Linked DNA regions of Schizosaccharomyces pombe. The gene in region 2 interacts genetically with the main gene of each other region. Each region holds a gene or a part of one and is shown on either strand. Other genes may lie near its edges.

The links.
Region 1: mutations in SPOM_SPAC1952.10C (region 2) and hac1 together harm fitness more than expected from each alone (negative genetic interaction), as found in Schizosaccharomyces pombe (one large-scale study listed by BioGRID).
Region 3: mutations in SPOM_SPAC1952.10C (region 2) and SPOM_SPAC1F12.04C together harm fitness more than expected from each alone (negative genetic interaction), as found in Schizosaccharomyces pombe (one large-scale study listed by BioGRID).
Region 4: mutations in SPOM_SPAC1952.10C (region 2) and mug73 together harm fitness less than expected from each alone (positive genetic interaction), as found in Schizosaccharomyces pombe (one large-scale study listed by BioGRID).

What each region holds. Positions count from the first base shown.
Region 1 is NC_003423.3:1,204,223-1,212,725, forward strand, and holds hac1 (2-hydroxyacyl-CoA lyase Hac1), read left to right. Parts: upstream 1-4,452; 5' UTR 4,453-4,742; coding exon 4,743-6,404; intron 6,405-6,455; coding exon 6,456-6,500; 3' UTR 6,501-6,634; downstream 6,635-8,503. Other genes in the region: histidine-containing response regulator phosphotransferase Mpr1, read left to right, coding at 1-422; SPOM_SPBC725.03 (pyridoxamine 5'-phosphate oxidase), read left to right, coding at 2,818-3,591; npp1 (nucleotide pyrophosphatase), read right to left, coding at 6,673-8,130.
Region 2 is NC_003424.3:4,980,765-4,989,805, reverse strand, and holds SPOM_SPAC1952.10C (uncharacterized protein), read left to right. Parts: upstream 1-3,239; 5' UTR 3,240-3,511; coding exon 3,512-3,784; exon of another isoform or gene 3,785-3,899; coding exon 3,900-4,712; 3' UTR 4,713-5,509; downstream 5,510-9,041. Other genes in the region: nickel-dependent urease Ure2, read left to right, coding at 561-3,068; ach1 (acetyl-CoA hydrolase), read left to right, coding at 6,907-8,472; SPOM_SPAC1952.08C (pyridoxamine 5'-phosphate oxidase), read left to right, coding at 9,020-9,041.
Region 3 is NC_003424.3:3,808,709-3,816,263, forward strand, and holds SPOM_SPAC1F12.04C (uncharacterized protein), read right to left. Parts: upstream 3,142-7,555; 5' UTR 2,934-3,141; coding exon 2,358-2,933; downstream 1-2,357. Other genes in the region: tma19 (translationally-controlled tumor protein), read right to left, coding at 820-1,326; arrestin-related substrate adaptor Any2, read left to right, coding at 4,414-5,547; SPOM_SPAC1F12.06C (DNA repair endonuclease), read right to left, coding at 5,841-6,232, 6,319-6,685; ser1 (phosphoserine aminotransferase), read left to right, coding at 7,145-7,555.
Region 4 is NC_003421.2:619,036-626,489, forward strand, and holds mug73 (transporter mug73), read right to left. Parts: upstream 5,493-7,454; coding exon 4,572-5,492; 3' UTR 4,481-4,571; downstream 1-4,480. Other genes in the region: msy1 (MS ion channel protein 1), read left to right, coding at 989-4,024; RNA-binding protein mlo1, read right to left, coding at 6,453-7,190. UniProt on the Schizosaccharomyces pombe protein: Has a role in meiosis.

The DNA.
Region 1 (8,503 bases), on a different chromosome or scaffold from region 2:
AGGATGAACTCATCCAAGACAAACAGCTCATTGATCATTCCGTTTTTGACCAGTTGCTTGAGATGGATGATGATGATGAGCATGAATTTAGTAAGAGTATTGTTTGGAATTATTTTGAGCAGGCAGAGACTACCATTGCCGACCTCCAAAAGGCCCTAGAGGCTAAGGATTTGAAGAAGCTTTCCTCGTTGGGGCATTTCCTTAAAGGATCTTCAGCTGTATTGGGCCTTACAAAAATGAGAAAGGTTTGTGAACGTATCCAAAATTACGGATCTCTACGCAGTCGTGATGGTGTAATGAAATTACCGAGCGAGGAAATTGCATTGGATTTGATTAGCAAATCTCTGTCGGTTGTGAACGACTTTTATAAGGATGCTCGAGCTTACTTACTTGACTTTTATGAAAAAAATTCTTCTACATAAAAGTCTCAACATGTCAAAGTACCTAGCCTTTCTTTCCCCCTTTTTATGACATTTATACCAGTTGTCTATCAAAGTCTTCTAGTTTTCCCAAATTTACGATAACTTGAAGTTAGTGATGAATTTCCAGCTTTTACGGTTTGAATAGTTATATTTATTATGACGCCCACACTTTTCCCGTACTTTGAAGTGCTTCCCTCTATCAAAGCAAATAGAGTGAAGTAATACAAGTCCTCAATTTAGTTGAGTATCCCCTATCCAAAACTATCAAAAACAGTCTATTTTTTGCTTTACCTCGTCTACCTTTTTGATATTGAGATATGCAACAGGCAGGGTTTTCCTGCGGTTTTTTTTTACGGAACATTTTTGAAGCTCTCGATATCAAACTTTATGTATTTAATAAGCTGCTTTCTCGAAAAAAAAAATTCTTGTTTGTTACGTTCTTACGGTCGTGGCATGTATTTATACCTTTATTTATCTAGTTTATTTACGAAATTGTCTATTGTGATTGTTTATCACAAGCCCAATCCCCTAATGTTGAAGGACTTTAAACCTTAGATAATATGTTTACAACCGGTCGTTTAAGATGCTGAATTTGGTTAATTCAAATTACTCTTCAACACTCATTTATCCCCACGATTGGCGACAGATTTTTTTTTTTTTCGAGTTTGATTTGCTTTGTTGTTGTTTTTTTATGTTTTTCCTAAGTTTTTAAACTGTGTTTTCAAATTTTCTTTAACCTAATGTTAATCATTACATGTACCTGATTCTCCTTTGTTTACCTTTTTTATTATTCAACTTGAGATGTTGATGGATTTTTTATGATTTTGGTGATAACCTTCACGTCCTTGTACATTACTGAGTTGTGAATTATGGTGGACTTCAAATATTGATTGACAAACCTTGCAAAAATTTTAAGTATATTGTTCTTGCTTTTTGTAATTATGATTGCTTTTGTCATTATCTCGCTTTAGAGAGATTATTTAAAGGATTAATGAAAACACCTTAAAATGGTCATTACATACAATAATTATTTATGATTTGATTCATTCAGCGTTTAATATGTGTACTTTCAAGTGTGATCGAACTGACTTTTAGCGTCACTTACTAAATGTTTTTGTTGTTGTGGGTTAAAGATCGAAAACAATTCTTCGTTGTAGATTGTTCGTTTTTGAGAATAAAAACTAAGAAAACACGTTTGCGATGAAATGAAATTAACGAACTTCTTTTTTTTGTTAATCGAAGTATAGTTTGTTCGATTCCGCAAAGACAAGAGAACATTGAAATATTGATTTGTGTGAAACAGCGAAATCAAGTATACCTCGTTAATTAGCGCGGCAAGTAGGATCCTGCGGATTCATAGACGTTCCTTTGGAGGCGAAGCGTTATTAGGATTTTCATACCCGTTGTGCAGCTTTTCGTCGCCTTGTTTTTCTAGAATGATGCGGGATGAATTGAATATGCGGAAGCTACAGATGTGCAAAAACTAGGCATAAACCTCGCTTGCCTTCTTAGTTTGCTAGGCAATGTGAAGCAAATGGTCATAATCCAAGTGATACGCCTGACAGAGACAATTTAATTTGTAAATTATTTTTATCATTGTTTTTATCCTCTGATGTTACAATGTATTCATTGATATCGCATTTCGGCATTCCGATGTTCAACCCCGGTATGCGAGAAGGTGTTGGCCGCTTTTTTCGGTATCAAAGTTGAAATTTTAGATGACTAATCTTATGTTAATTAAAGATAAGAGGACGAAGTTTGCTGAAATCAAGTACAGGTTTTGATTGACTAGGCATCCTCACTAATGGTGTGAGAGAAATCTGTTAGGATATGCAAGCTGTCATTTCTCACTTTTTCAATGTTGGAAACCTGTACACAGACAATGCATACTCTTTTCTATATCAATTTGCAAACTAGATGGCAGCTCATTGTTCTGTGAATAATCAGATTAAGGTACTGAACAACGGAATATGGATTGCAATGTTCTTTGAAGATCTAGAAGGGGAAACCATTTTTGTTAGTTAAAAGTTTTATTTTTTTGTTTTAAGTTACTAGTTATTGTCTTTATTTTCTTATTTTCCTTTCTCTGTGCACTAATATTAAATGATTTTACTCTTACTATTTACCAATTCTCTTGAGCAGATGAAGAGAGGAATATTTTAAAAAATTAGTGTAATCCACGATAACGTACAATTTGCTTTTTCAGAAATCACACACGATTTCGTTAGTAAGTTTAGCCGAACTTTAGAGTTGTGCCTTATACAGATATCTAGAGATCATTTCTGTATAGCGAGCGACCTTTAGTACGACACACTTAGCAAAGTCAATGACGTTTCAGTCAAACAAGTGACTTATATAGGATTCATACGTGCATCCCATTTCATCGTTTGCCAACATGTCCCTCGCTTGGAAAAATGAGTTATTGAAGCTTTTAAAAGAAAATGTCGACTCCAGTGGAGTTATTCATCCCGAATACTTCCAGCTGGCAACTTTACCCACTGGTAATGAAATTTACCCCAGAAATCGTACTGTAGCTATTCGAGGATTTGTCGGTACAGGATGGCATAAACCACGTCCCGATGATGTGCTAGCTACAGATTTATTGGTATTCTCTACGGATATTGCTTCTCACAAAGCTGCTGAGATTGCTGAGCAGCAAAAAAATACATTCCCCTCTGGACCCATACCGAACGCATTTGAAATGTGTGGATGGTTACCAAAGACAATGCAGCAAATTCGTATTTCCGGTCAAATTTGGTTATACACACCAGAACTTGCCGACCGAAATGAATTTCCCGCAGACAAGTTGATCCAGGATCATTTAATAAACAGCAATGGCCGCATTCCCGAAGAATGGTCTTGGGAAGAGGAAAGAAGACGTATTTGGGAGTTACATAGTCCTGAACTTCGCGCTTCCTTTTCTACTCCTCCTTCATACTCCAAATACCAAGGCGATGTGAAGGTGTCACCTTTACCTTCTACCCTCACTGGAAAAGAAGATCCCGGGGTTATTGAAGCTTGGAAGACTGCTTGGGGTAGATTTTCTCTTGTTGTTTGTGAGGCTAACGAAGTCGAGTTTTTGAATCTTACCCCTCCTCCAGGAAAGCGCGTTTTGCACAATAGAGATCTAAACACGAAACAATGGTCCTCCACTCGTGTCAATGTCTAAATGTTTTCCTTTTTTTTCGCACATCCTTTATGAATTGATTGCTCTTGATAAACGTGCAATACTTATGAACTACGAATATTAACTTATAATGATTACTCCTAACATTTTGGTTCTTTTTTTTTGTGGAGTATATGAAAAAGGTCTGATTCCCTCAAATTTGCCTAGCTTACAATTCGGTGGGTTTTGTAGTTGAATTTTTTTTTAGTACTGAAGCATAATACTGAGTACAAACTACAAACTCAGTGTATTCCGAATTTTCTAATGTTTATTTACGTTGTTAAACAACTAAATTATCACTTATCCTATGTCAAATTTCCAATCCGGCCACTTGATGAACTATTTACGTTTATAATAAATAAAAAATTATGAAAATTGTGTGTATTAAAGTACTTACAGGAAGACATTGTAAAAAATTGTTGCGAGATTAAGCAAATAGGCCAACCTACCTGCTAATGATGATCATTTATTAAAAGATCTTACCTGTATAATATTATATTAAGGTTATTACTATATGGCTTGTTTTATTATCTTATATTGTCTTACGCAGGTAGAAATGTAGCAAAAAAAAGGGAATAAAGCACCACATAAGAAACACAATGTCTTATTTGAAGGGACGGTGAATTGCCAAGTCATTTAATTTTATCGAATCAGTATTCATAGAACCGTAAAGGTCCCCGTTGAGTTAAGTGGCATTATTGAATACATGTGTGGATCTTAACTTATTAACGATACAAATTTAAAACCTGTTAACGTATTCCTTACTATACATTAAATACTTTAAGGAATTTTACCAAATTGGCTTATACATTGGATTATTAGTACTCGGTTACATAAGGGATTAGCAATTTCAAATACAGGATTGCTCATCCATCATTTTTTAAGCATTGCTGTTATTTAAGCTCATCTAGATCAGAACTTCTTTTTCTCTCTAAAGTATAGAACACTTGGTTTACAGAGTGACATACACTTCAGTTTGTCAGTTTATTGAGAAATAGGGACGGTATTGCTAGCTACTGGAACCAAACCCACCTTTACTTTGCTTTAGTCTTTTCTTGTTTTCTTCTGTCTTTCTTTTGCATTGAGCTTTTCATCGCTTTTGTTTGGTGAACAATATTATTCAATTTAGAGGTACATATTAATTTGTAATAACAATGTCTATAAGCTTTTCGGAATTGGTAGCTAAGACATTGTTGGACTTAGAGGTTAAAGTTGTTTTTGGCATTGTTGGCATTCCCGTAATCGAAATTTGTGAGGCTATCCAAGCAAGTGGAATTCGGTTTGTCGGGTTTCGCAATGAGCAAAGCGCAGCTTATGCAGCGACTGCCTATGGCTATTTAACTCAGCGCCCTGGGGTCTGTGTCGTGGTAGGCGGTCCTGGCGTTGTACATGCCATGGCCGGTGTTTTCAATTCTAAAACCAATCGATGGCCTTTGCTGCTTTTGGCTGGATCCAGTGAAACATTTCAGCAAAACTGTGGGGCCTTCCAAGAATTGGACCAGGTTTCTTACTTATCACCTCATACGAAATTAGCCGTGCGCCCCCCAAGTCCCAAAATGGTTGTTGATTCCATTCGAAGAGCGTATCGTGTCTCCATGACCGGCACTCCTGGAACATGCTATGTTGACTTGCCAGCAAATTATATTGAATCTACTGTCGATGACTTTCCTAAAGACCCTCTACCCCCAATTCCTAGTTCTCCCAAATGTGCACCTGATCCAACACAGCTTCAGAAGGCTGCATACTATTTAAAAAATGCAAAGGCACCTCTGCTTGTCGTTGGTAAAGGTGCCGCATATGCCTGCGCTGAAAAACAGCTCTTGGAATTTGTTGAACATACTGGCATTCCGTTTCTTCCGAGTCCCATGGGCAAAGGTTTGTTACCAGAATCGCATCCCTTAAATGTGTCTTCGGCAAGGTCAGCTGCTCTTCGTAATGCAGATGTAGTGCTCTTAGCAGGGGCACGTTTAAATTGGATATTTCAATATGGTCTTCCACCAAAGTGGTCTCCTAATGCCAAATTTATTCAAATTGATACCAATGCTGAAACTTTAGGAAACAATGCTGCAGATTTGGATTTAGCAATTTGGGCTGATGTAGGTCTGACAATAGATTGTCTTTTTAAGCTCGTTCAAACTTGGAAGTACAGTGTTGGCATCTCGACCCCTTACCTTCGCACGTTAAATGAAACCCGATCCAAGAATGAGAAAAAGGCTCTTGAATCTCGAAAGTCCAGTATACCGTTGCAAATGAATTATGCTTTGTATGTCGTGAATGAGGAGCTACAAAGCTTATCGCTCAAATCAAAGCGTAATATCACTTGGGTTTCTGAAGGCGCCAATACAATGGACCGGGGCCGTCAGCTTTTAGAAGTAACTCATCCACGTGGTCGACTGGATGCAGGCACTATGTCAACAATGGGAGTTGGTATGGGATATGCTATTGCCAGCGCATTTGCCCATTCATCCGACAAAATAGTGGTAGTTGAGGGTGATAGTGCTTTTGGCTTTAGCGCCATGGAACTGGAAACCGCCATACGCAACCAGCTGGATCTTTTGGTAATTGTAATCAATAATAATGGTGTTTACCATGGATTAGATACTGATGCTTATGAAACTTTACGTGATAATCACCAATTACCGACTACTGCCTTAGGCACTAGTATACGTTATGATCAAATTTGCGAAGCATGTGGTGGTAAAGGTTTCTTTGTAAAGAATGAAGAAGATTTGAGAAGTTCCCTCAGGAAAGCATGGCAAACCTCATCTGTATCTCTCATAAATGTTATGGTGGACCCGGAGGCTGCTCGAAAATTGGTAAGTATTAATGGAATGAATTAGGTATAAGAACAAGCTAACAATCACTAGACATTTGCATGGATGAGCAGTACCAAAGTGAAACCAAAGTTATGACCATCATTTAATTAAAAATAGAAGAAGTGATGTTCTTTTACGATTCTTAAAAATCGGAATACAGTTATTGTTGCTATTCAAATAAAGTCGTTTATTAAAAAAAAGTATTAAATATAATCTAAAGGAAATTAAAAATATTAAAAAATATAAAGATAGTGATAAAACAGCAGAATTAAATAAGCTTAGAGTATGCTTGTTCTATGTCCTTCAGCAACCATTCCTTAGTAGAATTACGATTTCTTCTTAAAGGTAAAGCACCTTCATATGTACCATTATTAGGCTGAGCTGGTAAATCTAATATATGCGAAAGAATGCCATAAATTTCGGTGTTCTGGAACGGTGCAAGCTTCTTTCCCTTAAAATTCTTAAAAGAAGATCCTGAAGCGATAAAAAGTGCTCTCATCACTGGAGACAAATTGTCATAACCATGTACACCCAAAGGCTCATACTCCAACTCCGGTGAATGATCCAGCATCGAGACAAGAGACCATCCAACATCCGGGATCATCCAAACGGGAGCTATTCTTTCATTATTTGAGTAATGCCATCGAGAAGGTATATCTTTCTTTGAATAAACATTCCAATTCTCAGCAGAAGGTAATGACGAGCGAGAATAATTAACAAGACTTTCGTAAATGTACTCATCATCTAAATCAGATTCTCCTCTAAAACCTCCTAACGGCCAAGCATCTCTGTGTGCAACGGCAGACAAATTAAACATATTATCCAGCCAGATAAGACGATTATCGGATGTAGGCGCCATTCCATGATCACTTAAAAAAATAATGTTGACATGCTTATCGATATTTCTTTTCTTCAGTCCTTCAATTAGTTCACCAATTACGATATCAACTTCTTGAATTATGATATTCAGTTCAGGCGAATCCGGTCCAAATGCGTGCCCAACCATATCTACATGGGGAGCATAAGCAAGTAATAACTGAGGGCGGTCTTTATCAGGAAGATCCAGCCATTCGAGTATTCTATCTTTCTTTTCTCTTAGAGTCGTATCAAAATTGAAACCATCCGAATAAGTAGGTCTGTAACCATGATTCTCCACTTCATTTCCAGGCCACATATGTACCGCTGATCGAACGTTATTTCGCTCAGCGTTGACCCATATAGGCTCCCCTTTATCCCACCAAGTTGGGTCTTTGTTACATTCAGGCATACTGTTGACAAATTGCTTCCCAGTTACAGGATCAAAAAAGTTGTTACTAACGATTCCATGGCTCTCGGGATATAAACCGGTAACAATAGTATAGTGATTAGGGAAAGTTATACTAGGAAAAGAAGGAATCAAAAAGGGAACATGGACATTACGTTCAGCCAGGCTCAGAAGATTAGGTGTGAACCCACGATATAAGTAATCAGCACGGAATCCATCCAAGGAGATTACGATGACAGTGGACTGAAAAACATTGGTCCCATTGTTGAAGGAACCTCCAACGATAGGAAAAATAATTGCTTTGAAGCAAAATAATTTCACAATTGCCAATATCAGAATTCCTAAAATGCAAATAGCGGCAATTGCTAGTCCCGATCGTTTTGCCCATTGATTCAAATAAGCCTTTCGATCATTTTTCAAAGGCAAATACTCGTTGGACCCAATATTAGCCCAACTAAACATTTCGGCGAATGTTCAAAATCAATGATATAAAGGAGTATTGTTAGGTATATCATATAATCTGTCAAATAATACTTACTTGAATAACGATGCGAAAAATATTGTTAAAATCATTTAACGCTTTCAAAGATATGCGGTAAACACTTTGTTCTAACTTACTTCAATTCGTAAACTATTCAGTCCTCTTAAATGTTCTGTCGTATAGGAAATGTCATCCTTTGAAACGTTTAGTGAAATGAGATAGCTTTTTTTCATATATGAAATTCAACTATTAATAATATTTGGATTCAAGGAGGAAACATCAACTTATGTTAGAAGCATTATTTGGCTAAAGCCTCAGAATAAAAGATTTTGTAGAACAAGTTTATTTGTCTTT
Region 2 (9,041 bases):
GCATATACATTATGAGCGTTTTATGGTAGATAATGATTTTTTTAATAGATCTAATTAATATTTTAAAAATGGGTTTTGGTCATATAATTTTCATGCGATGATATAATTTGCTGCGTGTAAACACAACATACTATACTCAAATATAGACTGGAATAATAAGTATACTAATTATCGAGAAATGGTCGACATCAGTTCGTGCACAAAAAATAAACAATACTTATTTCCCTTTCCTTTTACTTGAATAAGTGCTCAAGCGAACTGCTACGTGCCAACTTTTGTAAACTTCATAGTTATGCTTTTTTTGACACCAATTCAACTTCATGCTTAGCTTTTCGTTACATTACCTTAGTTTCTTCTTGTTAGTTGCGTACAATCGGCGCACCCTGCCTGTTAGACTAAGATAAGATATATGGTGGTTAGATTAAATGCATCCTTCAGCAACTTACCGATAAACGTCTCAACACGAACTAATTTACAAATCCTTAGTCGGAAAGTGTAAAATTATATCGATAAAGTGAAAGGAAGCGTATCGGAGATATCACTCTAGCGTTGTTCCAACTATGCAACCCAGAGAGCTACACAAATTAACGCTTCACCAGCTGGGATCTTTAGCCCAAAAAAGGCTGTGTAGAGGGGTAAAGCTTAACAAGTTAGAGGCTACTTCACTTATTGCATCTCAAATTCAAGAATATGTTCGCGACGGTAATCATTCCGTAGCAGATTTGATGAGTCTTGGTAAAGATATGCTGGGTAAACGCCATGTTCAGCCCAATGTCGTTCATTTGTTACATGAAATTATGATTGAAGCTACTTTCCCTGATGGAACCTATCTAATTACCATTCATGATCCCATTTGCACTACAGATGGTAATCTCGAACATGCTTTATATGGAAGCTTCCTGCCCACGCCAAGCCAAGAACTGTTCCCTCTGGAAGAGGAAAAGTTATATGCTCCGGAAAATAGCCCTGGTTTTGTTGAAGTCTTGGAGGGCGAGATTGAACTATTGCCTAATTTACCTCGTACTCCCATCGAGGTACGAAACATGGGTGACAGGCCAATTCAAGTTGGATCACACTATCATTTTATTGAAACTAATGAAAAACTATGCTTCGATCGCTCAAAGGCTTATGGAAAGCGCTTGGACATTCCGTCAGGTACTGCTATTCGATTTGAACCTGGCGTAATGAAAATTGTCAATTTAATCCCTATCGGTGGTGCAAAACTAATTCAAGGAGGTAATTCACTTTCGAAGGGTGTCTTCGATGATTCTAGGACTCGGGAAATTGTTGACAATTTGATGAAACAGGGATTCATGCATCAACCTGAATCTCCGTTGAATATGCCATTACAATCTGCACGCCCTTTTGTTGTTCCTCGTAAATTATACGCTGTAATGTATGGTCCAACAACGAATGATAAAATTCGTCTGGGAGATACAAATTTGATTGTGCGCGTGGAAAAGGACTTTACTGAATATGGAAATGAATCTGTTTTCGGCGGCGGAAAGGTTATACGTGATGGTACGGGACAGTCTAGCTCAAAATCAATGGACGAATGCTTGGACACTGTAATTACAAATGCTGTAATCATTGATCATACCGGTATCTACAAGGCTGACATTGGCATCAAAAACGGATATATCGTAGGTATAGGTAAAGCAGGAAACCCGGATACAATGGATAACATTGGAGAAAACATGGTCATTGGATCTTCTACAGATGTTATATCAGCTGAGAATAAAATTGTTACTTATGGTGGTATGGACAGCCACGTTCATTTCATCTGTCCTCAACAAATTGAAGAGGCATTGGCTTCCGGTATAACTACTATGTATGGTGGAGGAACTGGCCCTAGTACGGGAACTAATGCTACTACCTGCACCCCAAATAAAGACTTAATCCGTTCCATGCTTCGTTCTACTGATTCTTATCCCATGAACATTGGTCTCACCGGAAAAGGAAATGATAGCGGTTCAAGTTCTTTGAAGGAGCAAATAGAAGCAGGCTGCAGTGGACTTAAGCTTCACGAAGATTGGGGATCTACTCCCGCAGCAATTGACAGTTGTTTGTCTGTTTGTGATGAGTATGACGTTCAGTGCCTAATTCATACCGACACCCTCAATGAATCCTCTTTTGTAGAAGGTACATTTAAAGCTTTTAAAAATAGGACCATTCACACGTATCACGTTGAAGGAGCCGGTGGTGGGCATGCCCCCGATATTATTTCTTTAGTCCAAAATCCAAATATTCTTCCCTCTAGCACCAATCCCACACGACCATTTACTACAAATACGCTTGATGAGGAACTGGACATGTTAATGGTATGCCATCATCTTTCTAGGAATGTTCCTGAAGACGTTGCATTTGCAGAATCCCGTATTCGTGCTGAAACAATTGCTGCTGAAGATATTTTACAGGATTTGGGAGCTATTAGTATGATTAGTTCAGACTCTCAAGCCATGGGTCGTTGTGGTGAAGTAATTTCAAGAACTTGGAAAACCGCCCATAAAAATAAGCTACAACGAGGAGCACTTCCTGAGGACGAGGGTTCAGGTGTTGATAATTTCCGTGTGAAACGTTATGTATCCAAATACACTATAAACCCTGCAATTACTCATGGAATTTCTCATATTGTTGGTTCTGTGGAGATAGGCAAGTTTGCTGACCTTGTCTTATGGGACTTTGCTGACTTTGGGGCAAGACCCAGTATGGTGCTGAAAGGAGGAATGATTGCATTGGCCTCTATGGGTGATCCAAATGGATCGATTCCAACGGTTTCTCCCCTCATGTCCTGGCAAATGTTTGGTGCACATGACCCCGAGAGGAGCATTGCATTTGTTTCCAAGGCCTCTATAACATCCGGTGTTATTGAAAGCTATGGACTTCATAAGAGAGTTGAAGCCGTAAAATCTACGAGAAACATTGGGAAGAAAGACATGGTTTACAATTCATATATGCCAAAAATGACTGTTGATCCAGAAGCTTACACAGTTACTGCAGATGGTAAAGTTATGGAATGTGAGCCTGTAGACAAACTTCCACTTTCCCAGTCTTATTTTATCTTTTAATTATTTAGATTTTGATTAAGGAAGATAATGCGAGTTTAATTAATATGAAATTTTGTTTGTAAATTTCTTTACAGTTGTTTGAGGCCGAGAAATTCCATATCAAATTTTAAAAGACCAATTACTATTTAAGTTTATAAATATAATATACTCCCGCTTATGAGTTGGTGGATCAACCTTGTTTGCTTACTACCCACGTTTTTGCTTTAAGGTTATATAATTCTTTTCAAACACTAACAAATATTTGTCACAAATTCATATACTATAAACATTCAGAAAAGTTGTATTTGAGCTAGTGTACAGTCGTATTCGTTAAGTCAGAGTGAACTTCGTCGCTTACCAAAGCGGTAAACAACACCTACAATCAACGTTCGATGAGCCTAAGTGACTAAGCTGTGAAGAGATTAAGACTTTCATGAAAGCGTTATTAATAATTTCTTTTAATCATGAAAAAGTTCTTGTCATTCAAGCCTGCTGAAGACTTCCTTCGATCTCTTAAAAAATCATCACAATGGTTTCTGCTGATCATTATTGTCGAGGTTACCATTACATTATCTTTTGAAGGATATGTTTTTCATCATTTTCGTTTAATCACAGTCGAAAAAATTGATGTCTTTATAAATGCTATGGTGCCGTCTACATTTGCACTGTTTTGTATGGCATGTCCCTATTTACTTTATACGGCTGTAGATGCATTATTAAACAAGGATGTAATACAGGTAAGTTAATTGTCTCCAAAAAAAGCTAAAATGGCATTGTTTGTCTTTTGTCGATTCATATGGTTGACGCACTTGAGATCTAAACCAATTCAAGCTAACCGAATTATACGTTTAGATGTCAGCACTTCTTATCTTTCATGTAAGCCTTTTTTGCCTATCTGTTGTCCAATATTTTCAAATATTTTCAAAAGACCCCAGAGCGATTTTCCTCTCCGCTTTATACTTAATAGATCCCATTCGCCTCGTCACATCATTTAACTATCACGAAAGAATAGTTGTTAATTCTCATATGTTGTTATTTTATCTGAAGCCATTTGTAATCGCTCTTCCGGTGCTAATCGGCGTTACTTGTATCTTGCTGAGCTTCTTGGTTTACAAAATGAACAAAGCATTTGGATGGATTATGTATCAGCAGCATGGTCCTGATCTTCGAATGAGAAGAAGGTATCTCGTATACAAAATATTCATGTCCTTAATTAAGTCGGACTATTATTTTTGCCTAACGGCTACTGTTCAATATGCTATCTTCTTTTCTACCATAAGTCGTGTTGGGCTAGCACTAACCATTCTTGTCTTCCCCTGTACAATCGCAACTTTGATGACCTGTAGGTATGCTGTTTACAGAGAAAATCGTGCATTGTTAGGGATTGTACAGTTTATGTTTATGTGTGGACTTGCATATTTTATTTACAACTGTGCTAGGCTATACCTAGGCGTCGACTATGGGGATATTGCTGTTGCAAATATTTGTATGTTGGTGTTTTCAATAGTCACCATAATTTATTTGTTCACAACCATAGTCGTAGGGTTTTATTGCATTTCCAACTTCGGTTATGGTCTTAGGGAATATTTACGCTATATCCATCAAAAGCAAAAAGTCAATGCGGCTCCTGCTGTTCCTAAAGTTCGCATGCCATTGGACGACTGAGAGCTCTCTTTCTTTTGGCATTCTAAAAATGTGTTTTCTTGTTGTTTATCAATGTTCCTCATCTCTCTGTCCTAATCATCGTTTGTTTTCTTACGCCTGTTGAATTTACTGTTTTCCATTTCGTGTTTCCTTGCATTCCTTGGTAGGTGAATATTTTGTGCTCCGATCTCTTGTACTGTGTTTTTCCTTCATTTGACCTTTAATACATATCTTTTTTGTCTTTGTTAAAATTTATTGCTTTCGGTCCTTCTTTTGAAAGCTCAGTCTTCTTGCCTATAATTCACAATTTGAAAAAAAAAAAAAAAAAAATCTCCTAATTCATGCTTCATTGCTCATATCATTGCTATTATTAAAAACAAAATTCTCAACATGCTATTACAATGATTTAGTTGAGTAAACATTTTGAGCTGGTTCTTTTCTTATACAGGAAAAAAGGTGATAGCTAATTGGAGTTGACCATTTCCTTACGGAAGTTTTAGAACGAATATATCGTTCTGTGGCCTACAAGGATTTTAAGTCAAAAAATTCTATCATTTTTCTGGTTAAGAAGGAATGTTTATTAGTTGTTAACTCACACTTGTGATATTGTTGATTGTAGTGATTGAACCGTTTCTTTAAAAGTTTTTTGAATGATCTGAACTAATTTGATACAAATAGTTAAGTCTAGTCTTTTCTGTTTATTAATAATCCTAATTTATTAATAATGCTAATAAATAAATTAATTGTATAACGTAAACATATATTTTTATTTATATACCGCGTTTGAATAATAATACCCAGTTTTGGGACAATAATGGGATACCGTTCCTAATTACCTCCATAATTTGATTTCTTGTTTTAATATGACGATATATCGTACTAAGTCATTGCTGCCTTCTGCCTCTTAATTCTGACTTAAACTGAAAAACAAAATATTTCGTGATTTATCGTTATTAATTATTTAGCAGGATTTCTACAAAATTTGTTATAGAAATTACAACGTAAGCAAGCATTCTCGGCACTATCTTTTTACCGTAATTTGCCTCACTCCCTTATACGTACTGCATTTGTTTTGATTCCCTACCTGCTTGAATGTGCGATTCCAATGAATGACCCTCCATAGGCTCTAGGTGAAACCTTATTTTACACATATAAAACAAGGTGAATTCCATTTCAACACTTGAATTCCTAACCTAACAACTACCATCCATAAGTATTTTGGTATATTTACAAAAATTGAGTGTAATTCACTCTTATAATCGATACTTCTGATTGTCATTAGCGTCGTTGAGATCAAAACAAAACAATTTCCAGGATTTTGAAATTTGGCTTTTAAACAGCTGAATCTTTGGTTATTTTGTTGAAGTTTCTTTGATTTAATATCTTTTCACCCCCCTTTCACCTCTATTCAGTTTAATTTAATCATTTGACTCTTTCTTCTTGCATCGGTTCGTTCGTGTTCGCTTTACTACTAACTTACCTACCTACATTTGTTCTCCTTATCCTTAATTCTTTTACAGATATAACAAAACGTCTGCCAAAGTCAACACACTCGGGTTTTGTCATTTAATAGGGCAAAACGCTACTCTACTTGGGATTTTCATTATATTTACTCTCATTCATATTCTTCCGTTTCTGTGACTAAATCACCATAAAAAAACACCTTCCTTCCCCGGAAAACAAATAAGCAAACAACACTTTTTTTCGAAACACATTGTTTAAACAAAGTTTACGCCCTTTTATTATTGAAGATTTTCACCCGGTCAACCTTTTACCCTTTTCCTATTTCGCAAATTCTGTCTCTTTTTTTCGTCACAATTTTGGTCTACTTTGCTAAAATCAAGTCGCGCATACATTCATCATTCCGGCTTTTTTTTTGCAATCATCATTCCATATCTTACCGATATCTGTGATCCTTGGGTTTGTAAATCTGTTACTGAGCAGTTACATATTTGTCACAAGAACAACCACTTTTGGTTGATTCATTTTCTTATTTAAAAGTAAAAAAGAGTGTACATTCAACAAATTAAAATTATCTTTTAAGCCCAAAAAAGCGTTTTTGAGCATATTCTGATTATTTATCTGTCGCCCAGATTCTTCATTGAAAGATTTCTTTTTCTTTTCTTTTTTTTCTTGTTTTATCGCTTTTGAATTTGACTTTTACTAGTTCAACGTTTTAATATTTCCTTCCTCTTCTCTTCTTTTTGTTGATACAATGCCGTCTCTTCTGAGTTCACGCATTCGCAATGCCGAATTTGCCAAAAAAATTGTTACGGATCCTGCCAAGTTGGTTCCGTACTTTAAAAATGGGGACTATGTTGGTTGGTCTGGTTTTACTGGTGTCGGTTATCCTAAAATGATTCCAAACGCGTTAGCAAGACATGTCGAAGAGAACAATTTGCAAGGAAAATTGCGTTTTAAATTGTTCGTTGGTGCCTCGGGAGGTGCTGATACGGAATGCAAGTGGGCTGAATTGAATATGATTGAGCGCCGGTGTCCTCATCAAGTAGGAAAGCCAATTTCTAAAGGAATTAACTCTGGCAGAATTCAGTTTTTCGACAAGCATTTATCCATGTTTCCCCAAGATTTACTTTATGGCTACTATACTCGTAATCGTGAAAGTAATACAATTGACACAGCCATTATTGAGGCCACAGCCATTACCGAGGACGGCGGAATTGTTCCCGGCGCATCAGTTGGTGCGAGTCCGGAACTTATGCAACTTGCGGAAAAGATTATCATCGAGGTGAACACTGCCATTCCTTCTTTTGAAGGACTTCATGACATTGTCGAAATTCCCAACCCCCCACATCGTACTCCAATAAACATCAATCGAGTTGACGATCGTATTGGAAAGCCATACATCAAAGTGGATCCCAAAAAGGTTATTGGAATAGTGGAGGCTGATTATGGAGACATCACATGCGCTAACTCTCCGCAAGATGAGACTTCGCAGGCTATTGCAGGCCATTTAGTTGACTTTTTCCATCATGAAGTATCTGTAGGGCGTCTTCCCAAAAATCTTCATCCTTTGCAATCCGGTATTGGAAACATTGCCAACGCTATTATCGGTGGTCTTGCCCATTCTCCCTTTAAAGATCTCGAAGTGTGGACAGAAGTCTTACAAGATACTTTCTTGCCTCTCTTTGACTCTGAAAAGTTACGTTTTGCTACTGCTACCTCAACCCGTTTTTCTCCTCAGGGATTTGAAAAATTCTACTCAAACTATGATTACTACAAGGAAAGAATTTTGTTACGCCCTCAAGTAATTTCCAATCACCCTGAAATTATCCGCCGTCTTGGTTGCATCGCTATGAATACTCCTGTGGAAGCCGATATTTACGCTCATGCCAATAGTACAAATGTTTTGGGAAGCAGAATGTTGAACGGTTTAGGTGGTTCTGCTGATTTCTTGCGTAATGCGAAATTAAGTATTATGCATACACCATCGGTTCGTCCTTCGAAGAAGGATCCTACTGGTATCACTTGTATTGTTCCTATGGCTACCCATGTTGACCAAACCGAACATGATTTGGATATTTTGGTTACAGAGCAAGGATTGGCTGATTTACGAGGCTTGTCTCCTACCGAACGTGCTCGTGAGGTTATTGACAAGTGTGCTCATCCTGACTATAAGCCTCTGCTCAGAGAGTATTTCGATATTGCCGAAAACTACTGTTTAGCTAGAGGAGCTGGTCATGAACCCCATATTCTTGCCAATGCTTTCAAGATGCAGCTCAACCTTTTAGAAAAAGGAACGATGAAGATCGATCATTGGTAAATTTAGTTATCAGTTGTTATAGCCACTTTTACTCTTTCTAAGGGTTTTCCAAAACCTTGTTACGACTAAAATACAGCTTCTTCGTGCTGTTATGACTTAATGTATTTCATTTTTACATTAATTTAATTTACGAAATAAAAAAAATCCGTATACTAAAATTAGTGTTTATAAGTTAAGGAAATTAGTTTTGAGTAAGTAAATCCAACAATCATAATGCGTATGAATTTTCCAAGATACACAGAAATGAGCGCGTTTATTTTATGAGCAGTATTCCTTTGAAGATTATTAATCTTTAGTTCCCCTGCAAAATTCGTAAGTTGGCTGTTTAGTACATACCTCTATATTACGTTGAGTTGTGAGTCAGCATTTCTGCTATTAACCTAGTATCAAACCTGCTTACTCAGAGAGGAGTACCACCAAAATTTAGGAAAGGATAATCAAGTATAGAAATTATCGTACAGTTTTGTCTGGATCAATAGTTTCCATTCACCAGTATTTATTCTGCAAATTATAATCTTTGTCGCACCACAATAACCTGAAAGTAAATATGGCCTCAAAAGTCGATTCAT
Region 3 (7,555 bases), 1.2 Mb from region 2:
GACTAGATAAATGAGCGAGGGGAATGGTAACCCGCACAAGGGCAACAAATCGAGGTGTTAAGTAATTAGTTGCAAATAGTACAATGCCTAAATTATGCGTATTTGTTAGTGCTTTTAAATGATATATTTCACTTAGGGGAATATTGTAGCTAAACTCGTTGATTTAAACTGCTTATATAGTTTACTATTTAAACGTAACAATATACATTGACAAAATTAAATGCAACTAGTCTATTAACTCAATGATAAGATTGATTAAAAGGCTTAACAATTAAGCATAAATTTAATCCAATAGTCGTCCGCTACAAAAATAACATCGTCGAGCAAAAATTTCCCAAATCTTTAGTACTAACAGTAAACTATAGTTTCGACTGTAACAAAGTTTCAATGGCTACCGGGTCGTCTAGTGTCGCCATAACAAAAGTTTGGCTATTCCTCGTAAAGGACTTGAATTATCAACTTCGATAAAAAGCAAAAAAATACACTAAATTAATGGTAAAATACCAAATTTCAAACCATATCCTTACTTACTAAATTATTTCGGCCTGTTAATATATAAATAGATTCATGAATTTTAGCACACACGTTTTAAAACATCGATACCTCAATCTTCCATTCAACCAAATACAAAATCGATAAAAAAACACTAATTTCAATTTGAACATGATTATAAGCTAGCATAATTAATTATTATCAGAACAAAAACCCCTGTTCTAATCCTAATGAAATTTTGTGAAAACTAATTCACAAAACTATAAAATTTAGACATGATATCATGTTCCCAGTTAGAAACTCCCTTATAAGAACCCAAATTTGCATTTAGAACTTCTCAGAAACAAGACCGTCCTTGAAGAAGATCATGTAGGGAGTAATACCATCCTCACGGTAGTTCATTAAGACAACCATTGCGTCGGGATCCATGCTCTCACCAATGTAAAAGTCGTAGTCCTTGAAGTTAGCCAAAATCTTCTTGACGAATCCAATGGCATTCTTCTCGAAAACAGGAACACGCTCGGGGTTGCTTTCTTGAAGACGAGCCTTGATAGCCTTCATGTAACCCTTGATGTAAGACATATAGGACTTCTTGTCAAAAGAAGTAGGGCTTAAACGGAAAGAGTAAACAAGATTGTTTACAGTCTCAGTACCCTCTTCAGCATTCTCCTCAGCATCCTCGGCAGAAGGGTTGGCACCAATGTCAACATCACCACCTTGCTTGACAGTGACCATTTGGCAATCAGCCTCGTAGACAATATCGTCTACCTCCTTCAAGTCGTAGGCGTCAGAAACGAGTTCGTCTCCAGAAATAACGTCCTTGTACAACAACATGGTGATTGCAGATGGTAGCTCATAATTTGACTTCTCGCAGGTTTAATGAGATAAAGCAGTCACAGTTTAGGGCAGGGTTACTGGATTCTAGCCATCCGTATGGAATGCGGTTACGAACAGTATTCACTTTACGTAGTACAGCGTTGTTTTCGATAGATACATTTTGTTTACCAATTCCTTCATTTTTTTCAATTTGTCGTAGTCTGTTCTCCTTTCTTTTAAATAACAATATTCTTTATATTTTCAGATTTTTTTTTAGATGAAAATATCGTTGTACTCAGTCAGTAGTAAATTGTTTTATATTACTGAATCTGATTTTTTGAGTGAAACCATTATGATGCGTGTAAAATTAAGATTAAAGCTGGAATTAAAGTCCAAATGAATTCAACAATTGAACCATATTTAACAGTATGTGTATTAATCTCTATGTTCTTTAATCAACTTGTAACCATTTATGTCGCCTCAAATTTATTATTCGAGCTATTATCCGTCAATTCTTGAGTCGTAATTAGAACATTCTCAACAGTACTGAGCTTCAGAAGAAACCTAAAAAAGTAGTGCATTATAGTTGATAATAATTCCTTAACGTTTATATATGATATACTTAAAAGTATGATATCGTACATCCTCAATTTGAAATTGCAGGGCCATTAAAAACACTCGTTAATAAAGATATTCAGTTCAATTAGAAAAAAATGACAAGGTACATTTTGGTGACAAACAAAGAGTAACTTAATGTTTTCCGTTGATTAAATTTTCGATCAATATCCCAAAATTTAAAACGCTTTAATGGAATGGATTAACGATTAAAATCGACTTCATTTCTAAAACCTTTCAAGCTTTAAACCGATTCAGTCCCTTCATTTAGAATGGCATATTTCGATTTTTGCTGAAAAAACCAAGACGACTGTTACCACTTTTGTTTACTACTTTACTCACATAGACATTCGAGAAAACGAAAAATAGTTGAGCACGAATAGAATTACATGAAAAAAGTAACTTCTATTTAAATTTAAAAAGCTCATTCGTAACTAAGCTCTTTTATTGTGCAAAGAGAGGATTAGTTTTCTAGTTTGTACAATTGCGCTGAAAAGACCAAGAACTCCAATTTGGTGTTTGTGTAAACCAGCTCCATTTTCTACAGACCAGTGAATACACAAAGGAAGGCTAGCCAAGTTTGAAGCTAAGTCTAACTGATGCTCCTTTTCGTCTTCTGTTTTTTCACGCAAAAGCTGGTAAATGGTCAATAAAGTATCGAGAAGCCAAAATCTAGAAGACCAAAGCCATAATTTGTCTTCCAACGGTTTTGATATGGAAATAATCTGTTTGCCGCCTAAGAATGCCAATCCTTCTGTGACATAGTATCCAATATTGATTGCGTTACTCATGTAAGTTTCAGGAGAAGAATCTTTACGAAAATTTACGATTAATTTGTAGAGACCAGGAAGACGTAAAATACATCGAAATTCATTTAGCATAGAAACCAGTTGAGCAGTTGATTTCGAAGATGCTGGATCCAACCTCGCAACGTTGACAAGAATGGCAGCAATTTTGTCAATTCCGCTGGGATTTTGCAGCATCAGGTTTAAAGAATGCATATAAGACATATTTCTCAAAAAATTTCAGCTCTAAGATTTGGTCAATTATATTGTTCACGAAAGGTAGTCTAATTTTCGTATACTTTAGTAGAAAAGCGTAAAATCCAAAAAAATACTAAGTAGCGTATGTAAACGACTAAAATTACCAAATCCAAAGATTATTTGAATGACGATAGATGTCGGTTCGGCAACGTCTTATGGTATAGAGAGTGAGTGTGCTGCTATAGTCGATCGGATCAGCAAACGTTAGCTAGTCTGTTTAGTACACCAATAGATTTGATAAGAAAAATCTACAGTGCAGCAAAGTGAAATGTTATTTTATGAGTTGATCGATTTTACTTTTAGAATTACAAATGATAAGATATGATAACTTTCTCCAGTTATCACGTCGATTAGATCGCCGGAAATAACTCCGATATTGAGGAAAGTGTATTCAGTTGCAACAAACAGCTGTGACGGCTTCAAAGTATCGGCAAATCATTTTTTGCATGTGTTTTAAAAAAATAGTTCAGCAATAAAAAACATAAATTTGTTAGGCTTCTAGAGGCATATGCTTATTTATGTGTTATTTTTTTAATATTTATCATAACGTATTTTTTATTACAAATCCTTAGGTAGCAATATCTTAAGAATTAAACATACATATGTTCAAGGATAAAAGAAAGAAAAACTTGGAAACTGGGTTTATTTTTTCTATTCCTTTGTTCAGATACATATAAAACAGCTTAGTTACTATGGATTATTATCATATAGAATTATGATAACTGTTTAAAATAAATATTATTTGGAATAACGAGATTTGTTTAGGTCGGCTTGAGATACGCACAGCTACGTAAGATTGTAGATAACAAACTTTGAAAACCTTCGCATTCAGTGGCCTGGGGAGCATGCAGACTACACTTCCTATTCTTCCTTTGCAAAAACCTTCTCTTCTTACTACATTAGTATATTTTTCATAGGGAGGTGCTATATGCACTGTATTCATAGTTACGCTCTGCTTACAGTGAGCAAAGTATTTCTTTGGACGCTAAAAAAAGGCTCCTGTATATTGATTTGAGTAAATATTTTGGCATAGAAAAACACATTCAACGCTACTTAATTGTTTTTTCCATTTCGAACTACTATTGAGAGGAAGTTGTTTTTTCAATTGTTTTATATCATTTGAAAAAAATTGAAGCACAATTGCTTATCTTTGATCAAACGTTTAAGGAGTAAGCTCCAAATTCGATAATCCCTATTCCGTTCTACATAAAACCTGAGTTCATCTCTTGTGCTGTCGCTTTCAACCTCAGAAGCTGTTAAGGATATATATTAATTTAAAATTTTTACCAAAAAATATATTTCATTCTCTTCATAGCCGTTTTCTGTTTGTTTAATTTCAATCTCATATTAATTCTTCTGATCGGGCCCCCCTTTGTTCTTTAGATTCATTTTTTCCTACTCTTTCCTTTTAATATTTAATTCCTAAGTCATTAGCTGAACCGTCAAGATGCCTTCATTAGTCAGGAGATTTCAGCATGCTTCAACAGAAGAACAACCTTTCGAACTCAACATCCAGATGGAGTCTCCTCCTTTGGTAATGTATGGGAATCCAGATGTTTCTAGTGGAGCGTTAGCATCTGGACTTGCCAAGTTGACTGTATTTCCTGCAGATCTCAAATGCGAATCCATTGTCATGGAATTCGTCCGCATAATATCCACAAAGCGTCCTTTGCGCGACAGCTGTCCCGATTGCAAAGCTCAGGTTGAGGCTTTTGAGAAATGGGAGTTTTCTAAAGAACCTACCGTATATACTCATGGTACACATACTTGGCCATTCACTTTTATAATACCTGGACATTTTCCACAAACGACCAACTCACCATTCATAAACGTTACTTACATCCTAAAAACTCGCGTTAAGATTCCCAGTCAACCCGATTTTGTTTTTGAATATCCTTTAAACTTGAAACGCTCTATTGTCACTAATGCTGATAAAATTGCCCAGCGTCTCTTCCCCCCTACTTCGCTTATTGCTCTTTTAGAGCTGCCTCCTGTAATTCACCCTTTGAGTTGTGTTCCTGTTGAATTTCAGCTGACCGGTGTAAAACCTGAAAACTCCAAGGTTGGTTGGCGCTTAACGAAGATTTCGTGGAGAATAGAAGAACAGATAAAAGCTCAAATAAATGGTTGCTCGACCCATACTGGGACAAAAAAGCCATACATTTTCAAGGAGACTCGGCTGTTGGGAAATAATGAACATAAGTCTGGTTGGAAAGAAGATGGCGATAGAATTATCTTCGAGATCCCTATCAGTACATCTTTACTTTCAAAGCCTATTTGTGATGTTTCCTTTGATGGACAATTCTCTCTATATATTGCCCATCAACTAATTCTTGAGACTATAGTCGTCGAAGTGATGAACTCGCATCCCATAAACTCGAATGCCCGAATTTTAAGGATGAAGGTCAATTTACCTTTGACTGAACGAGGTGGTCTTGGTGTTAGTTGGGATGAGGAATGCCCCCCAATGTTCAATAGTGTTGGACCCAGTCCTCCTGCATATGAGCAAGTTGCTAGATCCTCTCCCACTGATATTCCACTACCTCCACCTTCATGTCCTACAAATGTTCAAAGAGATTGATTCGAATTTTAGTTTCTTCCGTCAATTTTGTTTTTTTATCTTTCTGTTTTAATTGGGCTTGTTTTTTCATTTCAAAGATTTGTGTATCTTTATATGACTTGAACGGTAATTTTTTGACCTTTACTAAGCTTGGATGATACAACAGGATTTCCATTAAAGGTTGCTTAACGTTTGTTCAAATTCCGCTTTTTTATTTCTCTTTCCTGTAGATTAATCTAATTCTAAACCGTCAATTAAAATACTCACAGAATATCTAAGTAGACAAAGTAATGTTTCTCGTAAGATGATTTTGCTTAATTTTTCTTATTCCTTTTCGATTGACTTAGGACAAATTTGGCATAAATGTCTGCTTGCCTGATCGGTTCCGGTACCCTGCTATGAGAGCTACTGCATTTCTGTACGAGTTGGATAGACTGTTCTAAATTCATTTGGTTACCGATGCTAACATAAACTGGGCGTTTCGAGTTACTGCTTGTCCATACTGCAGCGCCCAGAATCTCAGAAGATTGATCAATCGAGTGAATCAATATTGGATGATCAGTTGTTTTCTTTAGCACGTGTTTCTTTAAAGTTTCACGATGTGCATCTAAGCTTTCAGTCAAACCCACGCAATGTAAGTAATTTTTCGCGACGCCAACAACGGGAAGATTCAACAACACACCTAAATGGCAAGCCAATCCAAATCCTAAGTTGAGTTAGATATAATTAATAATATCCTTCATTGAGAGTGTCTCCTTGAAGTAAATAGATTGTTTACAGAATCTTACTTACCGACAGGATGCAATACGCCATTTCCATCTACTAAAATGATATCAATTCGAAATTGATGAGGAATGTGATTTAGCAATGGCAAATACCATTTAATTTCTCGAAATGAAAGAAACCCGGGAACATAGTCCTCTTCTAATTTCTCAATGCACAAATAATCTTTATAAATAATCATACGTTGTTCTAAATCATAAATAACAAGGGCTGAGACAGCCTTTGGACTTGATTTATCAAAAGAGATATCCAATCCTACAACATATCTTATTTCATTCAAACTTTGAAATTTGGGAATTAGCTGCAACATCCCTTTAAGTTCAATTTGCTGTTGGCGCCATATCGTTAACTTATCATGCAAATTGTCATTATTCATAATATACAATTGATCTTAAAATCATTTAGGTGTTTTTTAATTTAAAATAAACCGGTCTTTTCTGGGGCTTGAGTTGAGTACGAAAACCACGAAGTGAAAAGGTAGAAGTTCCCACATATGAGATTTAGACGCGAAATGTCAATTAATGTAATGAGATATCTAAAATATAAATTACTGTAAAAGAATTAAATTGACAAAGCGTAAACGAATACGCTATCATTTTTGGGATCTCATCGGTGTGTATAAAAAAGAAGTAGTGACTTCACTCACTTCCTCTTAACCCATATCATAGGAGTTGATAATTGGATCACGTTGACAGGTTTTGATTTCTCTAGGCGACATTTACTATTGTAATTAGTTTTACTCTCATATAAATAGTTTTGGAGTAATACCTGTGAAAATTGATATTCAGATTATTTTAAATTCTAAGTATACTTCTGCTTGAGCTCACGGAACAAAATGTCATCCAGAGAGGAAGTAGTTAATTTTGCTGCCGGTCCTGCCGCTATGATTACCTCTGTAGTTGAGGAATTTGGAAAGGACTTTGTCAATTTCCAGGGCCTTGGCATGGGTGTCGCTGAAATTTCCCATCGCAGCAAGCAAGGTTCCGGGATCGTTACTTCTGCTGAATCCAATTTTCGTAAACTTTACAATATCCCCGAAAACTTTCATATTTTATTTATGCAAGGCGGTGGTACAGAACAATTTGCCGCTTGTCTTTATAATGTTTATGCACACCATGCCCTCAAGAATGGCAATGCTAAATCTCTTGTTGCAAACTATATTATTACCGGAGCCTGGAGTAAAAAAGCATATGCTGAAGCTGAACGCTTAGGCTTCCCATGCCACGTTGCAGTCGATATGAAAGAA
Region 4 (7,454 bases), on a different chromosome or scaffold from region 2:
TGTGATATTCAGTACGGTTTATTTGTTTATATCTCGCATTTCATTCCAACTTTAAACATCTAAAACGTTCGACTCTCATTCCTTTTTATTTTTTTGTCTTTTCCCGGTCGTTGTTGATTTTTTTCGGTTTTGTTGAGTGAATTGGAATCGCGGCTTCAATAAAAGATAATCATCACTTTTCAGCTTGTTTTCAGTACTCTTTGTGAAATTTCTTTGTAGTACTTTTCAACGCTTTTTTTTTCCTTTTATATTTTTTTCTATATCTAAACTCAACTCTAAAGACCGGTTTGCGGCGTTTTGCTTCTTGTGCTAACAATTTTACATTTAAACAACTTGATCTTTTTCAAACATTCTCTTTCTACAATCTTTACTCATCTTGTCTTATACACACTGTTGGTTGCATACTGAATGGTTGATAGGTTGTTTCATTAGTTCTGTTTCATCTGTTGCCATTGTTAATCTTATACTAAATTTGTCCAAGCAATAAAAAATAAAAGTATTTTTTACAGTTCTTTGTTGTTGGGGTCTTTTTGCGGTTTTACTTTCAAAAATTTTTTCCTTAGAGTTAAATTGTTTATCTCACGATTGATTATTTGACCTCATTTGTCAACCACATCCCCATTCCAAGCTATCTATTTTAAACATTTAGAATCTCTTTTTTTTTTAGGTACCCAAGTTATCGACTTTTTTGTTTTTCCTCTCATTTTTAGTTCCTTCCTTGTACTTGTGTTTAATCATTACTCATCCTTGGATTTCTGCATTTTATTGACGTTTGGTCAAGTTTTCTATTTATTCCCTCTTGTGTATTTTTTCTTTTCCTCTGGACGATAGTTTCTTCTCATTCCTTTCATCATATTCCCTATTCCTGGTAACTCAAATCAATTCATCCTTGTCTGTTTTTCTTTTCCCTTTTTCATTTAAACCTTTTCAGACAGTTTCTTATTTTTTAAATTCTTCATACTTACGGTTTTCGCTCGCTCCTTTAATCATGTCTTCTCCTACTTCTCCTACTTCTAGTCCTGGTCGCCATCATTGGTCAAACTCGAAAGACGGTATGCCGCCAGAGTATACTAATCAGGATCCCAATTCTGATCAAGCTGATAACGAAAACTCTGATGCCAAGGCTCACCAACCTCAGCATTCTCCCCAGCATTCTACAGAAAATCAAGGTCATACTGGGACTAGTGATACTTCGTCCCTGGAAATGGAACTATCAAAGTTGCACCCAGAATCCAAACAAAGGCAGTTGCCGCACTCTCCTGAACATGAGCGATCTCGATCGCCTATTGCTTCTGTCGTCTCATATCGCTCGCACATGACTTTGGAAGATGAAAATCAGATTTTTAATGCCGAAATGGCTGTCCGTGGTTCTCAGTCTTTGCAAAGACGTCCTACCGGCCGAAGTGTTCGCGGATCTATGCGACGCCTTTCTTCCCATCGTTCTAAATCCATGCGTACCTCCAAGTCTAAAAAGTCGGGCGATTATGAACGTACTGCGGAGAATGAAGAAGCCGCTCAAGAGGCTGAGAATCATTTAGACAACTTTGGTGTAGTGACGTTTGGTACTGAAGCTCCTATTAAGGCTCCGGACCATCCTGTAACTATTTTTGGTCGCATATTCAAATTTATTCAACAGCGAAGCTTTTACCTTCGTTCGCTCATTTACATTATTCCTCTCGGGGTTTTACTCTTGATTCCAGTATTCATTGGTCGCTTTTATCACCCACAACCTCCTTACCGTGATGAACTAGGTCATGAATATGAGCGCCATTTACACGTTGGAGGTGTTGATTTGATGTGGATGGCCATCTGGTGGGAAATTATATGGCTCTCTATATGGGCTGCTCGCTATGCTGCCAAAGTAATTCCTTATTTCTTTGCCTTCTTCGTCTCCTTCATCAGTAACAACGTTACTAAATGGAGATGCATGGCAGTTGCCCTTGAGTTTCCTATTACATTGTTCCTTTGGATGTTAGCTGTATATGTCAGTTTCCTTCCCATTATGACCCGCCGTCATATTGGTGATTATGGTGTACCTGATCATGTACGCGTAAAACTCCCTTGGCAACAGAGCGCCAACAATGTACTTATCACTTTATTCATCACCTCAATTATGAATTTGGTGGAGAAAGTACTTATGCAGTTGATCGCCATGTCGCTTCACCGTCGTGAATATGAATCTAGAATCCTTTACAATAAGTTTGCTATTAATGAACTCGCCCGTTTGTATGGATATGCGCGACAGCGTTCTTTTGATTTCAAAGATGCTATCCATCGTGCTCAAGCAGATGTTTTTAAGTTTGCTGATCACCAACATGGCAAGAAGCGCGCAGCAGCTGCTCGGGTTGCTCAGAATGCATTGAATAAAACCACTTACAAAGCTATCTCTGCATTCAACTTCGCTACGGATATGGTTAACAAAGTGGCTGGTGAGATTACTAATCGTGAGGTCGAAAAATCTTCTTCTCCTAAAAGTGTTGTGCTACACTTGTTAAAGACCACACGCGGTTGTCAATCTCTAGCTCGTTGCTTATTTGAGGCATTGGTGAATCCTGAGAATCCCGATTTAGTACTGGATGATTTTATTCCCGTATACACCGATGAAACTGGTGAAGTGGATAATGCCACCTTAGAGGCATGTTATTCTATTTTTGATCGTGATCTAAATGGTGATATCACCTGTGAAGAAATTGAACTCGCATGTGTGGAAATTGGAAAAGAGCGTAAGAGCATTTCTGCTTCACTTCGTGACTTGAACGATTCCATTTCTAAGCTTGATGGTATTTGCATGTTTATAGTGGCTGTCATTACTCTTTTTATTTTCTTATACTTGATTGCCCGTAACTTTAGCGGTGTACTTACCTCTGCTGGAACTACTTTGCTAGGTTTGTCTTGGCTGTTCTCCGGCTCCGCACAGGAATTACTTAGTTCTATTATATTCGTATTTGTGAAACATCCTTACGATGTGGGCGATCGTGTCGATGTCATGATCAATGGCACAGTCACTTCAGCGATGGTCAAGGAAATTTCCATCATGTCTACCGAGTTTCGTCTATTGACTGGAAAAGTCATTCAAGCTCCAAACAGTTTGCTGAACACCCTTTGGATTTTGAACATGCGTCGTAGTGATGGCATTGCTGACCCAGTCACCGTTAACCTGAAGTTTGGAACTACTCTTCAGCAAATTGAACAACTGCGAATCAAAATTATTGATTTTTTGAAAGAAGAGAAGCGTGATTATAAACCTGACTTACTAACTGAAGTTACGGATTTACCGGATCTCTATTCCATGTCTTTGTGTGTTGTATTCTTTCATAAATATAACTTTCAAGACGAGGTTTTACGTATGCGTCGAAGAAATATGTTTATGTGTGCATTGATGACTTATATGCAGGAATTGGATATTGTATCTCCTATTTTCAACAGCCCTGGTAAATCAAAGGATTCACCTATGTATGTCAACTTCAACAATGGTTCAATGGAGGGTGTTAAGTTATCTGGTGGTAATGATGGTGGTGGTACTGAAAATCATCGCGACAGCACTGTTGGCGGAGGAATTCTGAAGAACCCAAAAGCATATCCTTACCGCGAACCTACTCCTCCTGGTAGTTCAGATTCCGATACCGCTAGTGTTTCTAAAAAGCGTGTTGACTTTTCCCTTGGAACACGGCATCTGATGCCTGCTTTTGATGATGTTGCTGATATTGGAAGTAAAAGGCTTGGTCGTGATAGTCTTCCCGATGCTGTCATTGAAAACGCTGGCACAGAGGCCATGCGACGCGAAGCTGAGGAACGTCGCCGAGCCGAAGAGGAAGAGTACGAACGTTCTCAACAAGAATCTAGTTCGAATGAAGAAAACGAAAATGCATCGCGTACGTCAGGTGCTCGTTTTAGCTTTTCCTCTAAAGCTAGTCGTTTGTCGGCTAGACCCAGTGCTCGTACAGTTCCTCCGTTGCAGCATATATCAATTCAAGACTTACGTGAGCCAAACGAAAATAATACTTCTAAGTCTGCTCGACTTTAAATACCCATAACACTTTGCAAACTTGCATCGCTCATGCTAGTTTTACTTACTTCATTCGTTGAAAGTGGCTATTTACCATTTTGGGCACTATTTGTTTCTTTTTTTTAGTTTTTATTTATTATTCTATGAAATGTTTAAACGTATATTGTATCTCAACAGCAAATTTTTGTATTAATATTAGCTATGCCTTGTAAAGTTTCGTAAAAGTTATGCAAATGATTTACGAATAATCTTAAACTAAAACTAGTATAATGCTTTTTTCACGTAAACAATGACTCACCGTCGTAAATTTAGACGTTTCAAGTGCGAATGAACGTTAATAATTGTTCAAAGGTTTCGTTTTTATAATAATTATTTCGTTTTCATAATCGTAATTTTTCACGAAAAAGTGTTTGTGTTTTAGAATGCCAACGAAATTCTCGTAGCGAAACTTCGAGTTTGTTTTAAACATTCAGGAAACAAATAATGATTAAAAAACAAAAAAAAAAAAAACGGAAGGTAAATTTCTATAACTAAGCAAAGATAACTGCAACGATGCGTACTGTTATTAGCAATTATTTTTCGTAGGTGAAGAAGGTAAATTGGAAATTTGAATGCGAGTTTCAACGGCCAAATCATCAGCTTGGTTTTGTGCCTCCATGTCCGGACACATTGAAAACTTGTCATCAGCAGGACTGCATGCCCCTAAGGGTATCGATTGAGGCGATTTAAAGTTTTCAATACCAACCAAGTCTAGCATCCAAGAAAAAGCAGCGCCAAAAAAGCCGAATTCGAAAAGATCTAATATACTGTAAAATATGGCTTCTCCAATTGGCGAGATAACATTGAGGCCCTCAGATAAAATCCAACATGCATAATAGAGGAACCAAATGACATGTAAGTAAACAATTGACCATAAAAACCCTAGGCGCGCAGACGTCTCTAAACGGCTAGCATACTTTTTATGCAAAACGACTGAGTGTGCCAATGCAATAAAATAGCCTACAAACGAAAATCCGTAATAGGCCCATTTATAGGGAGATGAAGTTAATGCTGCCGCCAGTAAGCAAACAATCGCAAAAAGCACATAGCAAACGACATATGCAATTTCTAGTATAGATACGCCTACCGTCCAATGTAGCATTACGATGATTAATGGGAAATTGATTAACCATTGAATATAGCGAACATAGTAAACCATTCGTACACTAACTTCTCGAAAAAAAGAAGCAGAAGAAAACACATTTTTCAATCCATAATTGCAGGCCATGGTAAAGTAGGCCAAGCAAGAAACCAAACTGAGGATGGAAAAGAAACGGTGGTAAGTCTGCTTTTGAGGCAAACTGAATATCGATACTAAAGGAAAGACAATTGCGCACAGCAGGAACACTGCAAAAACAGCCCAATAGTAGTTTGAGCTTATCTTTTGCAAAGCGACTTCCGGAAGCTCTTTCAGTACCATTCCGGAGGAAGATAATTTCGCATTCATGATGCGTAAACAGGATAGAGGCTGGATTAAAAGATATAGAAACAACTCTTATATTCTTAAAGGTAGCGATACTAGTTGAGTTGAAAAGTCAAAACTTTGTAATAATGGGTAGCTGAGACACGGTGAAGGTGGCTCTGAGAAAAGTCGATTAAAAAGCCATGTTTGTAAACAAACAAACTTCAACATGTAAACAAACAATGATGTTACTCTTTCCCATTAAAAGGCATTTTAATTGACTCTAATTGAGAAAACGCAAAAGAACATTACAGCCAGCAATGTCAAATTTTTCACTTTTTCTTACTTACCGATGACAGCAAAACAGGTAAAGTCGCACGTTACAGAAGAAGTCCGAAGTTGAGAAACAAAAAGGTATAATAAAAAAATAAAATTCCAACCTGTAGAAAATAGTTTATGTACAAAAATTAAGAATTTCGACATTGTTGGAAGTAAAGGTGGATACATCATATAAACATTACAATCCTTCTCTTTTTCTTAAATACAAATAAGCTCATCAAAATATATACATATGGATAGCAGAGTGGAAAATCTTTGTAACGAATGTGTATGTCAAAACGATTAGAACGAAGAGTTTTTTAAAAATGGAAAACATATGAGTATAGGTAACTATTAAAGAATTCGCCTAGGAAATACTTACATCACGCCCCAAAAAGCTATTAAAAAAATAAAACCGAGTTTTCACAGATGTTTTAAAACACACCTAAAAGGTAGGATTGAAATTAGAAGCGTTTAGGGCTCCAATATCGGATGCTTGTACTCGGATAAGTTGTTTAAAGTGAAGCAAAAGTCTGGGTATAATTTATATACACAAATAGGAATTCAAAAGTTCTAATTCATCAAAAAAGCATTAAGCATACAAATAAAGCATGGCATGAGGAGAAAACTTCAAGAAACATGAGTCATATTGTAAAATAAGAAGTTAAAATATGTTAAATGGTTACTTTAATTCTTGGCAGCAACACCAAAGCGCTCAGCACGCTTCCTAGCTTTTTCTGCCTCTATAGGGTCGTCCAAAATATTACTCTTCCGCTTGGATGGAGCACTTTTAGGAGGCGCATTCTTATTTCTTTGTTTAGAACGTGAGTTGGAACGATTTTGAGGGTTCTTAGATTGATTATGGTTTTTGTTATTACTTGACGCTAAAGGTTGTTGAATGCCAAAACGTGCAGCACGAGCAGCTTTCTTAATTTGTTCATCGTCCACAGGAATGCCAAATCGTTTAGCCCTTTGGATGAGTTTTTCTTGCTCTTTAGCTACATCTGGGCTAGAGACTTCATTAGATACACTTTGTTTGGATTCCTCTGTGGTTTCTTGATGCTCTTCAGCACCAGTGGAAGTTTCAGGAGCTTGTGAAGTCTCTTTCGAAATAATGCTTTCATTTTCCTTTTCAATCTCTACAGCAGCGGCAGGAGCACTGGTCTCTTTACTTTCGGGTTCTGCTGGCTTGTTAACGTCAGTTGAAATAGTATCATTCTCCATGTCTCCCCAATCAATATCATCCTCGGGAGGAGCAAGATCTCCTAGATCTGTAGCGTTGTTATTCGAAGTATTTTCATCGTTACTCTCGGTCGCTGCTGTCAATCGGCTTACCAATTCAGCTTTGTTTCCAGCAGTGGAGAGGCCTTTCTCCGCAAGTTTTTCACGCAGTTCTGCAACTTTAAGACTCTTGTAATCTGACATTATGAATATAGACGTATATGCGCGTCAAAATAACACGTTTATTGAATTCGGGATATACGCAGTTGACAAGGGTGAATATGTACGAACCAGCCAACTTTAGTGAGACATGTTGGATGCGCAAATGAAGCGTAGTGAATTGGAGTGATGATTGTGTCAAACATAGTGGTGCTATTTTGCGTATCGCTATGTAATGTTTACTGTGCTATGGTGAGGAGATGGTTCAAAGAAAATGTCTATAAACGATGTTGGGATATACTTTCTCCC